Linked DNA regions of Saccharomyces cerevisiae S288C. Changing the gene in region 2 together with the main gene of any one other region gives a genetic interaction. Each region holds a gene or a part of one and is shown on either strand. Other genes may lie near its edges.

Evidence for each region.
Region 1: of CCH1 (region 2) and YVC1, changing one enhances a phenotype caused by changing the other (phenotypic enhancement), as found in Saccharomyces cerevisiae (one study listed by BioGRID).
Region 3: of CCH1 (region 2) and GRX6, changing one suppresses a phenotype caused by changing the other (phenotypic suppression), as found in Saccharomyces cerevisiae (one study listed by BioGRID).

The regions. Positions count from the first base shown.
Region 1 is NC_001147.6:486,022-490,291, forward strand, and holds YVC1 (Yvc1p), read left to right. Parts: upstream 1-1,685; coding exon 1,686-3,713; downstream 3,714-4,270. Other genes in the region: TCB1 (tricalbin), read right to left, coding at 1-758; Rab family GTPase VPS21, read right to left, coding at 4,175-4,270. UniProt on the Saccharomyces cerevisiae protein: Required for release of calcium ions from the vacuole in response to hyperosmotic shock.
Region 2 is NC_001139.9:922,872-930,743, forward strand, and holds the start of CCH1 (calcium channel protein CCH1), read left to right. Parts: upstream 1-1,824; coding exon 1,825-7,872. Other genes in the region: GPI1 (phosphatidylinositol N-acetylglucosaminyltransferase), read right to left, coding at 1-1,591. UniProt on the Saccharomyces cerevisiae protein: Voltage-gated, high-affinity calcium channel that functions together with MID1 to mediate calcium entry into cells. Required during conditions of environmental stress.
Region 3 is NC_001136.10:430,507-433,582, reverse strand, and holds GRX6 (glutathione-disulfide reductase GRX6), read right to left. Parts: upstream 1,254-3,076; coding exon 558-1,253; downstream 1-557. Other genes in the region: APC11 (anaphase promoting complex subunit 11), read right to left, coding at 1-86; YDL009C (uncharacterized protein), read left to right, coding at 335-658; YDL012C (uncharacterized protein), read left to right, coding at 2,066-2,110, 2,197-2,475; SUMO-targeted ubiquitin ligase complex subunit SLX5, read right to left, coding at 2,657-3,076.

The DNA of each region.
Region 1 (4,270 bases), on a different chromosome or scaffold from region 2:
ATACCCCAGTCCATCACAACAACATCGGATGCAGTGTTTTGGAAAGTCTTCACCAAATCAACTCTGGGGGGTTTAACACCAAGTGTCAACTCATCGATCCATAGTTGAGTAATAAATTTGGGAATCGCCTCATTAGTAGCCATTTGTTCATTAGCTTGCTGAACGATTAATTGACTAACGGAAGGTTCTAAAATGGGCCAGTACTTATCCAAAAAGGCATTCAACCATTCTAGGGATTCATAGTCGTTTTCCACTTTCTGCACCGTGAACTCTTTCTGGACTAACTCTCTTATGGAACCTCTGTATTTTTTAGCAGAGGTTCTATACAACAATGAAGTGATAACGATGACAAAAAAGGCCGACCCCATTGAAAACTTATAATGACCAAGTGCAAATGATGCCACGCCTCCGATAAAGAAAATGGCTACCGAATGATACCAGTCACCGTAAAGGCTGTCCGGTATGATGTTATCTAAGAAGGTTTCTCTAGTCATATCCATCAATTCATCATCTAAAGTTAATTCGTCTTTGTCTTCCCAGCCACCAATCTGTTTCCAGCCGACATAAGAAGCTTCATGGATACTTCTCTTGAAGCTTTCATCACTAGCATGTGCCGCCTTCTCAGATGACACGCTTTTACTGGATTCGGTTTCCTCTTTCGTCTTTGGAGGTTCTAACTTATCTATCCCATTTATGTTAGCTACTTGGGCTGTTTCGGGCTTCTTTGGTGCTGTTACCCCAGTATCTTCTTTGGCCATATTGTATGTACCACGCAATTGAAGTTTTCAGAATGCACTAGCTATCTTTTTTTATCTTAGCTATTCTTCTTCAATTATCCTACTTATTCTTCAGCAAAAAAAAAATAATAAGCTAAGACAATGCTATACAAGTCAATTACCAGCCAGTAAGTCCAAATTGGAGTAGCCAATGCTATTAGTTGATAATTTTGACGGCCGATTATACTATTCCAATTGCAGCAACATCCCTGTCCCTTAGCTTTTTGAGGGGCCTTTTGTTATAATTTTTCATGCAGCATTCCGGTCGCCAAAGTTGTTATCACTTCTAACGTAAATCGTTTTCTCGTTATGTCCGCTATTTTAGAATGAGAATAATGGATAAAATTGGCCTAAAAAGGGAGCGAGTATAACGTTACTGAGATACAATTGTACATTTTGCCATGGAAATGAGCCAACTAGTCTAATGAGATTTTCAATGCTTTATTTCTTTTTTTAGTTTCTCATTTTATTGTTTCTCTAGTTATTAGTCCTTTGGTTATTTTTATGTCACCACCTCTTGTCACATGACCATTTTTGTTACTTGCTTGGTTTTACAATGATTTATACATTCTTGGGCCTCTCTTGACATATTTTTATCGTCATAATAAGTTCTTCATTCGTTCTCTAAAACAACAAAGTTAGACTCCATGGCCAAGTTGGTTAAGGCGTGCGACTGTTAATCGCAAGATCGTGAGTTCAACCCTCACTGGGGTCGTTAATTTTTTAATTTTTCTCCTACACTGTTGCTATGTCGGAGTTATCTCATAAGAGCTGAAAATATGTGGTAAATTTAGTCAGTATCCTTCGAGGATCAGCTAGAGCCTATTCAATGCAATTGTCATTAATCAGTGGCTTGGTAAGGCAATAGAATTCAGTTATAAAATATAATATTACTAGAACAGGAGCATTATGGTATCAGCCAACGGCGACTTGCACTTGCCAATTTCTAACGAACAGTGCATGCCGGAAAACAATGGATCTCTTGGATTTGAGGCCCCCACTCCGAGACAGATTCTCAGGGTTACGTTAAATTTGAAATACTTAATTGATAAGGTCGTACCTATTGTTTACGATCCCAATGATATTGTTTGTGACCATTCTGAGATTTTATCTCCAAAAGTTGTGAAGCTGGCTTATGAAGCATGTGGCGGGAACCCTAAAGACAAGGCCAACAAAAGAAAATATCAATCTGTCATTATTTTTTCACTTCTTAAAGTTTGTGAGTGGTATTCCATATTGGCCACTATGGAAGTGCACAATGCCAAACTTTACGAAACCAGAAATTTAGCCTCACAACAGTTATGTAAATTGTTAATTGAAAGGGAGGAGACAAGAGACCTGCAGTTTCTTTTCATGCAGTTACTGCTGCGTCGGTACGTAATCAACGAGAACGATGAAGATCAAGAACCGTTGAATGCCTTGGAACTTGCCACAGATATGCACTGTACTACAGTGATAGGATCGAGTGGATTTCAGCGTTGTTTAAAATGGATATGGAGAGGATGGATAGTCCAAAATGGCTTGGATCCCACAACTTTTATCAAGGACGATTCACTGGCGGAAGTGTCATTGATCTCTCATTTCAACCCCGTAAGATTAAAGGCGCCTGTATACCAAAATTATTTGCAGATGATCTTCTCATTTTTGTTTCTAGGGCTTTATACCTTGGTGGTTAATGGTAAGGACTCTGAGAGAGTCCAATCTTTCGATTTGTTAGAAAGCATATTTTATGTTTTCAATACTGGTTTCATCTTGGATGAGCTCACTAAGCTTTATTATATTGGTTATGCGCACCTATCGTTTTGGAATTTATTTAATGATACCACATATTTGATAATCACGTTTGCTATGGGGTTCCGTGCAATGAGCGTAACGCCCCTTAATGCAAAATACTCTTCAGAAGATTGGGATAAAATATCATATAGAGTCTTATCCTGTGCAGCACCATTTGTGTGGTCGAGACTCCTACTATACCTTGAATCACAAAGGTTTATTGGGATTATGTTGGTTATCCTAAAACATATGATGAAAGAATCCATTGTATTTTTCTTCCTTCTATTCTTAATAATGATAGGATTCACTCAAGGTTTCTTAGGTTTGGATTCCGCAGATGGTAAGAGAGATATCACCGGACCCATCCTGGGTAATTTAACAATCACCGTTTTGGGTCTTGGTAGTTTTGATGTTTTCGAAGAATTCGCTCCCCCATATGCGGCAATACTGTATTATGGTTACTATTTTATTGTTTCGGTTATCCTTTTGAATATATTAATTGCTTTGTATTCGACTGCGTACCAAAAAGTTATTGACAATGCAGATGACGAGTACATGGCTTTGATGTCACAAAAGACGTTGAGATACATTAGAGCACCTGATGAAGATGTCTATGTTTCTCCATTGAACTTAATTGAAGTGTTCATGACACCTATCTTTCGTATTCTTCCACCGAAGCGTGCTAAAGATTTGAGCTATACTGTAATGACAATAGTGTACAGCCCATTTTTGTTGCTTATTTCTGTTAAAGAAACTCGGGAGGCTAGAAGGATAAAATATAACAGGATGAAAAGGTTAAACGATGATGCCAATGAATATGATACTCCATGGGATTTGACAGATGGCTACTTGGATGATGATGACGGTTTGTTTTCTGATAACCGAAATTCTGGCATGAGAGCCACCCAGTTAAAGAATTCCCGTTCGCTAAAACTGCAAAGAACAGCAGAGCAGGAAGATGTCCATTTTAAAGTCCCTAAGAAGTGGTATAAAAACGTTAAAAAATGCAGTCCCTCCTTCGAACAGTATGATAACGATGACACTGAAGATGATGCTGGTGAAGATAAAGATGAAGTCAAAGAGCTCACTAAGAAAGTGGAAAACTTGACAGCTGTAATTACCGATCTACTCGAAAAATTAGACATAAAGGATAAGAAAGAGTAAACGACATGTGTTCAAATACTGCTTAATTAATTTCTCAGAAATCCATATATATATATATATATTGCTCCTCATTGCAACTTTGTAAATTTAATGTTCCTTTAATTTATCATTATTTACAATATTAACTAATCCATCTCCCGATTTTCGGCATAAAATAAGTTTATATTTTGGTCTACATGAAAACAAAAGTTTAACTAAACTAACGTGTACAAACCACTTTGAAACGTATATAAAGGTCTAATAAAAACGACTGGCGTTTTGAAAGATAATATAATGATCTAATGCAGTTAAAAAATTTACAAATTATAAGAAGAAAAGAAAAACAACGATTACGGTAAAAAATGAAAACTCCCTCTCCTTTCTAGGTACGATAAATTATGACTTTCATCTTTCCCGTTTTGAAGATCTATTTATCTCAATTTGCCCAGACTTTTTTTTTATATATATTTATTTTCCCCTCTCTAACAACTGCAAGCACTGTTTGCGCTGGTCCCATCATTAGCAGCGTTCAAATCCACTCTTTGATTGTTCGACTCACGTTCGTTACTTGCACTATT
Region 2 (7,872 bases):
GCTTGTTAGAAACCGTGGTTTTGAGCTCAATTGAAATGCCACCGGGTAGACGTTTAGGATCTTTTAACCTAAGTAATAATGCGAACAATGGAAAATGGTTAATGAGTGCAATGACAGCTTCCGAGAATATTTCGATAGTTATTGTTAGCATTCTCAAAACTGTGTATGACATATAGAATGCCATCACTGTGGGAGTCAAGAACACTAGAATAATAAATAATAATGTTCCCAATAGCAATTGATCTAGTTGAAAATAGTTATGGTCAATCCTATTTCGTAAAACGTTCCTCTTTTTACCGCAGAACAGGTTAAAAAGACTAGCCATAATATTCAACTGACAATGGTACAGTTTACTGCTGATACGATAAAAAACATATATTGGAAAACTTAAAATTGCAAAAAAATCAATCGCTAGGGAAACAGCAAAAGAAAAGCCAACGAGAAACATCATATATATCGTTAACGTGAGCAAAGATGATAGGGTTTTCGGATCAATGAGTCTTTTTATGAATGTGGTATAAGAAAATTCTATCACCCAAAGAAATAATTCGCTCAAAAAGTTCGCAAGTTCTGCATTTAATTTGATGCCAAGGGGGTTATTTGCTAACGTTTCAGTTATTGTTTTTAATGAATCATATAAAAAAAACTTCAATACTCTATGGGATGCCGACACCAAGAAATCTCGATTCTCAATAAGTATGGCCCCCAATATTAAACCAAATGAAATGTCATTAATAATAAGCCAAATTGTATTATACAATAAAATATAATCGGGATAGAATTTAGAAGGCATATATGAATGTGAGAATTGACTATTAGAATTATCTTTTTCCACCATAGAGCCAACATTCTGTATGTTATCCTTCTTATTAATACGCTCATACTGTACTGGGAAATAGCAAATTTGTTGACAACGAAGATCGATTTGCTGGACAAATGCCGAGTAATTTACCAACTGAAAGTGCGAATAATTTAATAACGAGGATACGAGACTAGCAATAGAGCAGATCACAAAAGTCAAATAAAAACCAATTTTTGCGACCATTTTATAAATACAAGTAGATGAACACCAAGCTGCGACACTATTAAGCATAGTACCCCTCAAATTTTCCTGTGATGTTTGAATAAACGGGTAAAGCTCATTTAATGCTTTACAATATGCGGGGAATAGATTAATGATGTTCAAAGTTTCACTCAATTTCTTATTATCTCTCTTGTATCTTGGATGTTGCTCTAATTTAGAATAGTTCAGAGTTTCACCCACACTACTATGAAGACCAACTTCTTTTTCTGGTATGATGAGCGAGATGGGATCAGAAGAATAGAATTGCATAAATTTCAGCTTGGGTATTCTAAAATGGACATTACAGGGATCAGCAACTTTGTAGTTCCAACCCTCCGCTCCATTGTTCTTAGTAGCTACCACTGAATAAGGGGGCCGTATGCTTACTTCTTCTAAATACTGAGGTTCGCAAACACCTAAGACAACAAAATGCGTCTTCTCAAATGAAATTGCCAAAGCTACCTGAGGTCCTTGAGCTGCGGAATTCTCGAACAAGGATTCGTATGGCCAGAAAATGTAATTTGGCATGTCATTTAACTGTATAAAACCGCCCCTGAATTCGAAGGTTCCTGTTCACAGAGGAATTTTCATTCTTTTTGGTATTATGTTCTGGTAGGTTTTTTTCATATTCTACATTTCGGCATTCTCACTGAAAATAAATATAGATGAGATAGAAGATCATGAATCAATGGTTGGTGACAAGCTAACATAAGGAAAATCAAAATACACGGCATTACTAAATAGAATATATTGTTAGTACTATGCAGGGGAGAAAAAGGACGCTTACGGAACCATTTGAGCCAAATACCAATCCATTTGGGGACAATGCAGCAGTAATGACGGAAAATGTTGAGGATAACAGCGAAACAGATGGTAACCGTCTAGAATCAAAACCACAAGCTTTGGTCCCACCAGCTTTAAATATCGTGCCACCAGAGAGCAGCATCCACAGTACTGAAGAAAAAAAAGGTGACGAGTACAATGGAAATGATAAAGATAGCTCCTTAATCTCCAACATATTTCGTACTCGTGTCGGAAGGAGTAGTCATGAAAACTTGAGCAGGCCTAAACTCTCACTTAAAACAGCATCATTTGGTGCCGCTGAATCTTCCCGGCGTAATGTTTCACCCTCTACAAAATCTGCCAAGTCTAGTTCGCAGTATATTGATTTAAATGATGAAAGGCTACGCAGGCGTAGCTTCAGTAGTTATAGCCGATCATCTAGTAGGCGTGTTTCTAATTCACCAAGCTCAACGGATAGGCCTCCACGGTCGGCAAAGGTTTTATCGCTAATTGCCGCTGATGATATGGATGATTTTGAAGATTTGCAAAAGGGATTTAAAAGTGCAATAGACGAAGAGGGCCTGACATGGCTACCCCAATTAAAATCAGAAAAAAGCCGTCCTGTATCAGACGTTGGAGAAGATAGAGGAGAAGGAGAACAAGAATCTATACCTGACGTTCATACACCCAATGTAGGAGCAAGCGCTACTCCAGGATCAATTCATCTAACACCCGAACCCGCGCAGAATGGTTCGGTATCTGAGGGTCTAGAAGGCTCTATTAATAATTCAAGAAAGAAACCCAGTCCAAAGTTTTTTCATCATTTATCACCGCAAAAAGAAGATAAAGACCAAACAGAAGTTATTGAGTATGCTGAAGACATTCTAGATTTTGAAACCCTTCAAAGAAAACTGGAATCAAGGCCCTTTGTGCTTTATGGACATTCTCTTGGGGTTTTCTCGCCTACGAATCCGCTAAGAATAAAAATTGCTCGTTTTTTGTTGCATAGGCGGTATTCGTTACTTTACAACACTTTGTTAACATTTTATGCCATTCTCCTGGCGATAAGGACATATAACCCTCACAATGTGGTTTTTTTATACCGTTTCTCTAACTGGACCGACTATTTCATTTTTATTTTATCAGCTTGCTTTACAGGCAATGATATTGCTAAAATAATTGCGTTTGGATTTTGGGACGATTCTGAAATGTTTAAAGCCTATGGACGTGAGTATAAATCAATCTTACAGAGATCTGGAATTATGAAACTATACATATATCTGAGAGAAAAGTATGGTAGAAAGCTAATAGATTTCATTATTCCATTTAGGATCATATCGCCGGGAGAAGAGACAAAATATCAACGAAGTTCGTTGAGTACTTCCCTGACGAAACCTTATGGGGCAAAGGAAAATCAGAGGCCTTTTGGCACCCCAAGAGCCTTTGCGAGATCATCGTGGAATAGAATAGATCTGGTATCTTCTGTCAGTTTTTGGCTAGGTATGTTTTTATCCATAAAAAGTTATGATACAAAAACAGGCATAAGAATATTCAAGCCCCTTGCTATATTAAGGATTCTTCGACTTGTAAACGTGGATACTGGTATGCCCTCAATTCTAAGGGGATTGAAATATGGTATCCCACAGTTGGTAAATGTTAGTTCAATGCTAGTTTACTTTTGGATTTTCTTTGGGATTTTGGGAGTACAGATTTTTCAGGGCTCTTTTCGAAGACAATGTGTATGGTTTAACCCTGAAGATCCTACCGATACTTACCAGTACGATATGCAATTCTGTGGTGGTTACCTAGATCCAGTAACAAAACGAAAACAAAATTATATCTATGAAGACGGATCAGAAGGTTCTGTTTCAAAAGGCTTTCTTTGCCCACAATATTCGAAATGTGTTTCCAATGCCAACCCCTACAACGGCAGAATTAGTTTTGATAATATTGTTAATTCCATGGAGCTCGTTTTTGTCATTATGAGTGCGAATACTTTTACTGACTTAATGTACTATACGATGGATTCGGATGAAATGGCTGCCTGTTTGTTTTTTATTGTTTGCATCTTTGTTTTAACTATCTGGCTGCTAAATCTACTCATTGCAGTGTTGGTATCATCTTTTGAAATAGCCAATGAGGAGTACAAAAAGAAAAAGTTCATATATGGTTCTAGAAAGACAGGTTATGTTGCTCGCATAGTAACAGGCTACTGGAAATATTTTAAGCTTAAGGCGAATCAGACAAAATTCCCAAATTGGTCCCAAAAAGGACTAGCTATTTATTCCCACGTTGAGTTTATCTTTGTCATACTTATTATTTGCGATATAGGTATGCGCGCCTCTGTTAAAGTATCGACTTCGGCAAACTGTAACAATATCCTTCTAAAAACTGACAGGGGAATTTCGATTGTTCTCTTCATCGAATCACTGGCAAGGTTAGTATTATATCTGCCCAATATGTGGAAGTTTTTAACAAAACCTAGTTACGTTTACGATTTTATTATATCAATTATTACTCTGGTTATTAGTTGCCTGGCTGTTGAAGGGGTTCTAGGACATATGTATGCCTGGCTATCCATATTCCACATATCCAGATTTTACAGGGTGATTATTTCTTTCAATTTAACAAAAAAACTATGGAAACAAATATTGAGTAATGGTGTTATGATTTGGAACTTATCGTCTTTTTACTTTTTTTTCACCTTTTTGGTTGCTATAATCATGGCTGTGTATTTCGAAGGCGTGATTCCTCCAGAAGAAATGGCAGACCAGCCATTTGGAATGTATTCACTACCGAATTCATTTCTTTCTTTGTTTATAATAGGTTCAACTGAAAATTGGACGGATATCCTATATGCCCTCCAAAAACACTCACCAAACATCTCCTCAACTTTTTTTTGCTCAGTATTTTTTATTATATGGTTTCTACTATCCAACTCAGTGATCTTGAACATTTTCATTGCCCTAATATCAGAAAGCATGGAAGTGAAAGAAGAAGAAAAACGACCACAGCAAATTAAGCATTATCTTAAGTTCGTCTATCCTCAGAAAATACAAGAATATACACACGCTAGTTTGGTTGCGAGAATTCGTAAAAAATTCTTTGGAGGTCATAGGAACGAAGATACAAGAGATTTTAAGCAATTTCTTATGAGAGGAACCGCGATAATGAACATAGCGCAGAATATGGGGGAGTTGGCCGATGAATTCAAAGAGCCACCTTCAGAAAACCTATTTAAAAAGGGCTTATCAAAGCTCACAATTGGGGTTCCGTCACTAAAAAGGCTGAGAATGTTTGCTAATAATCCATTTTATAAAAATAGTGACGTTGTGTTTACAGAAACGAACGATATAAATGGGAGGACGTATATCTTGGAGTTGAATGAGTACGAGGATGAGAAGCTAGATTATTTAAAAAAGTACCCTTTATTCAATTACTCATATTATTTCTTTTCTCCTCAGCATAGATTTCGAAGGTTCTGTCAACGCTTGGTACCACCAAGCACTGGAAAAAGGACTGATGGATCACGATTTTTCGAGGATAGCACTGATCTATACAATAAAAGGAGCTATTTTCATCATATTGAAAGAGATGTATTTGTATTCATTTTCGCACTTGCCACCATTTTACTAATTGTTTGCTCATGTTATGTTACGCCTCTATATCGTATGCATCACAAGATGGGAACTTGGAATTGGTCCTCGGCGTTAGATTGCGCCTTCATTGGTGCCTTCTCAATTGAATTTATCGTGAAAACAGTAGCTGACGGATTTATATATTCTCCAAATGCTTACCTGAGGAATCCATGGAACTTTATTGATTTTTGTGTCCTAATCTCAATGTGGATTAATTTAATTGCATACCTAAAAAACAATGGAAATTTGTCTAGGATTTTCAAGGGATTGACAGCCCTGAGGGCCCTCAGATGCCTCACGATCAGTAACACAGCTCGTCAAACATTTAACCTAGTTATGTTTGATGGTTTAAATAAAATTTTTGAAGCTGGGTTGATTTCACTCAGTTTGCTATTTCCATTTACAGTTTGGGGCTTAAGCATTTTTAAAGGCCGTTTAGGTACTTGCAATGACGGAAGTTTGGGCCGTGCAGATTGTTACAATGAATATTCAAATTCCGTTTTTCAATGGGATATCATGTCTCCAAGGGTTTACCAGCAACCATATCTTCATTTGGACTCTTTCGCAAGCGCTTTTAGTTCATTATACCAAATCATTTCTTTGGAAGGATGGGTTGATTTGTTGGAAAATATGATGAATAGTTCAGGAATAGGTACACCCGCTACGGTAATGGGTTCAGCAGGGAATGCTTTATTCCTCGTTCTGTTTAATTTTTTAAGTATGGTTTTCATCCTGAACTTGTTTGTTTCATTCATTGTTAACAACCAAGCAAGGACAACAGGAAGCGCTTACTTTACCATTGAGGAAAAGGCGTGGCTGGAATCCCAGAAACTTTTATCTCAGGCCAAGCCAAAAGCTATCCCAAATTTAATTGAGTTATCAAGAGTTAGGCAATTTTTCTATCAACTTGCAGTGGAGAAAAAAAATTTCTACTACGCATCGTTTCTTCAGGTAGTACTTTATTTGCACATAATCATGCTCCTGAGTCGAAGCTACAATCCAGGAAACTTGATAGGTTATCAAGGTGTTTATTTTATGTTTTCCACTAGTGTTTTTTTAATTCAAGAGGCACTTCACATGTGCGGTGAAGGACCAAGATTATATTTTAGGCAAAAATGGAACAGCATACGACTCAGTATCATAATTATAGCCTTTATTATGAACGCTGTAGCATTCCACGTTCCAGCCTCTCACTATTGGTTCCACAATATAAAGGGGTTTTTCCTGTTAGTGATATTTTTGTTTATTATTCCTCAAAATGACACACTAACTGAACTATTAGAAACCGCAATGGCAAGCTTACCGCCTATTCTATCATTGACCTACACTTGGGGGGTTTTATTTTTAGTATATGCTATTGCTTTGAATCAAATCTTCGGCCTAACAAGGTTAGGGAGTAATACGACCGATAACATAAATTTTAGAACTGTAATCAAATCCATGATTGTTCTGTTTAGATGTAGTTTTGGTGAGGGCTGGAATTATATCATGGCCGACCTAACTGTGTCAGAACCTTATTGCTCCTCTGATGATAATTCAACCTATACGGACTGTGGATCAGAGACATATGCCTATTTGTTATTAATGTCGTGGAATATTATTTCCATGTATATTTTTGTGAATATGTTTGTTTCGTTGATTATTGGTAATTTCAGTTATGTTTACCGTAGCGGTGGATCTCGCTCTGGCATCAACAGATCGGAGATAAAAAAATACATTGAAGCTTGGTCCAAATTTGATACTGATGGAACTGGCGAGCTTGAGCTGTCCTACCTCCCAAGAATAATGCATTCATTTGACGGTCCTCTTTCATTTAAAATTTGGGAAGGTAGATTGACAATAAAAAGTCTAGTCGAGAACTACATGGAGGTTAACCCAGATGATCCATATGACGTCAAAATAGACCTGATCGGACTGAACAAAGAGCTGAATACGATTGATAAAGCAAAGATCATACAGAGGAAGTTACAGTACAGAAGATTTGTACAAAGCATTCACTATACGAATGCTTATAATGGATGTATCAGATTCTCGGATTTGTTATTACAAATACCTCTCTATACAGCTTATTCTGCAAGGGAATGTCTAGGTATTGATCAATATGTCCATCATCTATATATCCTGGGTAAAGTGGACAAGTACTTAGAAAATCAAAGAAACTTCGATGTATTGGAGATGGTGGTAACAAGATGGAAATTTCATTGCAGGATGAAACGTACCATTGAACCCGAATGGGATGTTAAAGATCCCACAGTATCGTCTCACATTTCGAATATAAACGTAAATCTGGAACCTGCTCCAGGAATTTTAGAAAGAGAACCTATTGCGACACCTAGAATGGACTACGGTGTTAACAATTTTATGTGGTCTCCGAGAATGAATCAAGAC
Region 3 (3,076 bases), on a different chromosome or scaffold from region 2:
TTATTGGCTGCGTCCTCATCAGATGTGCTAGGGATGTGCCATGACCAAGCAAACACACTGTGCACTTCGTTTATTTTAACTTTCATATTTTTATAATCTGTATTGCCACTTTGCTTGTTAAACTCTCCCGATATTGTACAAAGTTTTTGAAGAATGCATTATTTTTTTATCTGCAGACACGGAAGATACAAAAGTTATCTCGGCAGCTTACCCTTTATATCGAATGCAGGCGTAGACAAAAGTGCGTTGCATAACTTACCAAGGTGAAGTGCATGGACCAGCAAAGGATAGAAGTTATTGTAAACATCGAAACCATAAACTTATATATGTATATATGAAGGCATTAAGCGTTTTATGTTTTCACAACCCTTTTAAGAGATGTCTTGGACAAAAAAGCTTCTTCGTTGGTGATAGCTTCTTTATTCCAACTCCGAAACGCCTTGTGCTAGGAAAACTACGCCTTTCCAACTACACTGCATTTCACGACCTAATCATTCACGACCTCTTTATTTATATATTTATTCTTAATTTTTTCTTCTTTCCTTTTTGTAACAATTTCAATTATTGGAAGGTTTTTCACGTTGCTCAACCGAGAATTTACCATCACTCCAGACTTGTAATGATTCTAAAAGTTTCCCTTGAGTGTGCAGTTTCTTGATTTCTTCATTACCTCCTCTTGATACTCCATTAACCAAAAGGTTTGGAACAGTTCCTCTACCGGTCACCAACTTGATATATTCTTGCAGCTCTTCCCCATGTCCATGTTTGTCAAGTTCTATAATATAGTAGTTTGGGATAAACTGATACTCATTTTCAAGCAGTTCCTTCATGCCCTTGCTATATGAACAGGTGCTTTTACTAAATATTATAATCGGAGACAAGTCTAGTATGAGGGAGTATTCTTTTTGAACATTAAAAGCTTTGGTTATTCGCGACCCTTTATCGTTTTTAATGGCCGACAAACTATCATCAACCGATGCTATGGGCTGTTGGAGTCCCACCTTCTGTTTTATTTCATTAATTTCTTCGTCTACTTCAGAGCTCCCCTTATTCGTGGTAGAAGTCGGCATAGCAGCATATTCCCTGGAAGATCCTCCAGCCATATTGTCCATATTAGTACTAAATGCTTTAGAAGTTTCCTCTTTTATCTCTACCGTCAAGAAGTTCGCATTTTGCGCTACGAAAAACACTAACAACAATAATAGCGTTGTAATGCTTAAAATTCTAGCATTTCTCTTATTGGAAGGTATCATAATAAAATTGTTTCTATATTAAACCGCTAGGTTGCTAAGGTTTCGTCTTTTCTATCTTACGATAATTTGCTTAAAAGTTCATTTAGAGAATAGATAGTGATCTTTCCCAGTATAATGTTTTCCCGATTTCGCGAACGCTCCGCCTCAGGCGCCCCGGGACGCGTCATGCGCGTTCCAGAAAGTTAACTAACTGCTAGTGCATTCAATTTCTCAAGGCGTAGTATTTGGGATCTATAAAGCCTTCGACATTAAGCACTATGCTTAAAAGCGAACAGCCTGCGCCACTACTTAAGAGCGAATCTTGTGTGGAGGGATGACTAGGTCCAAAGAGGGAGAAAAGGATCTTGCGGAAAAGTCAACAACACTAATCGGTAGCTGAGTCTGTCAGTGCATCCTTACTGGCTTACTATTTTCATTCATGCTGCAAGTAGATTATCCTCTAGTTAAATTAAACGCGGATGAACTACGCCATTAAATCCATCATAAGAAACTAATTACTACTTTTAGGAAATTAGCCAACTAAAAACTGCTGAAACGCCACATTTCACATAAAACCCCACGGAGCAGTAATGGGAGATCTTAAGCTCAGCCCAGTACATATGTCCATCAGCCTTGAATAGCCACGGTGAGTTCTCGAAGCTTCCTTCCACCTAGTCCAGAATATTTCTTGGTAAATGGCTCGAAGTTTTCGTATTAAACGATGCTATCAGCGGCATCGTGAAATATTGAAATATAAAAAGTATTTACGCAACCGAAAAGGATATTAAGACAAACCCATACAATAGCCCATAAACCAAGCAAATACACATCTCATGTCAGCTCAAGATTATTACGGAAACTCTGCCTCCAAACAAAGCGTACGTTAATTTTACAAGTTTTGCCTTTAGAAGATCACATCGTACTAACGAGCCCTTGTATTTTCATTACATCACTTTCGATTCAGTATTCTCGTCCTAGCGCTCCACCACCAGGATATGAAACGGCGTCTAGAGGTTACGCTCCATCGCAAAGCCAACAGAACTATTATCCACCTCAACAGCAGCAGCAGCAGTATCAGCAACAACCTCAATACTATCAGCAACAGCAGCCCCAATATTACCAACAACACCCACAGCAGCCCATTTATGTCCAACAACAACCGGCCAGTTCTGGAAATGAAGACTGTCTAGCGGGCTGTCTAGCGGGTTTATGTTTATGCTGTACTTTGGATATGCTGTTTTAGAGTATCTCCATATCTTGTGGGAGCAAACCCTTTCACACAAATCCACTATATAAAACAAAGCACAATTGCACCTCTGATCTTTTAATCTTAATTAAATAAGCGTGATTAAAGTGTTCATGCAAGTAGATAATATATAATGATGATAAGTTCGAAAATGCCCTTATAAAAATTAAACCGCGTGCTAGAAGTAAACCTCCTTCAACCTGCCTCTTGAACGAATAAGCTTCTTACAAGAATCTGCGGGACATAATTTGGGGCCATAATTATCCGGATGAGCCGAACCCTTTAGTTGAGCTAGTTTCTTTTTGGGCATCTTAGATTTTTTTTTTGCATTGTCAATCCTGGCGAAACACCTACCACAAAATGCATGACCACACGATGCAATAAACGTTCGTTTTGATAAATCTCTATCAAGCATTGATGGTCTGGCTAGGGTTTGGTAGGGGCAGTGGAATTTGTATTTTGACACTAACCCTTCAAATGAAACACCACGATCCTTTTGACTGATTCCAGTAAAATCATCCGGTATTCCGACCCCCAATTCTGCGCCACACAAGCAACAAACAGGAATATCCTCGAGTGTTTTTGCTAAATCGTCATC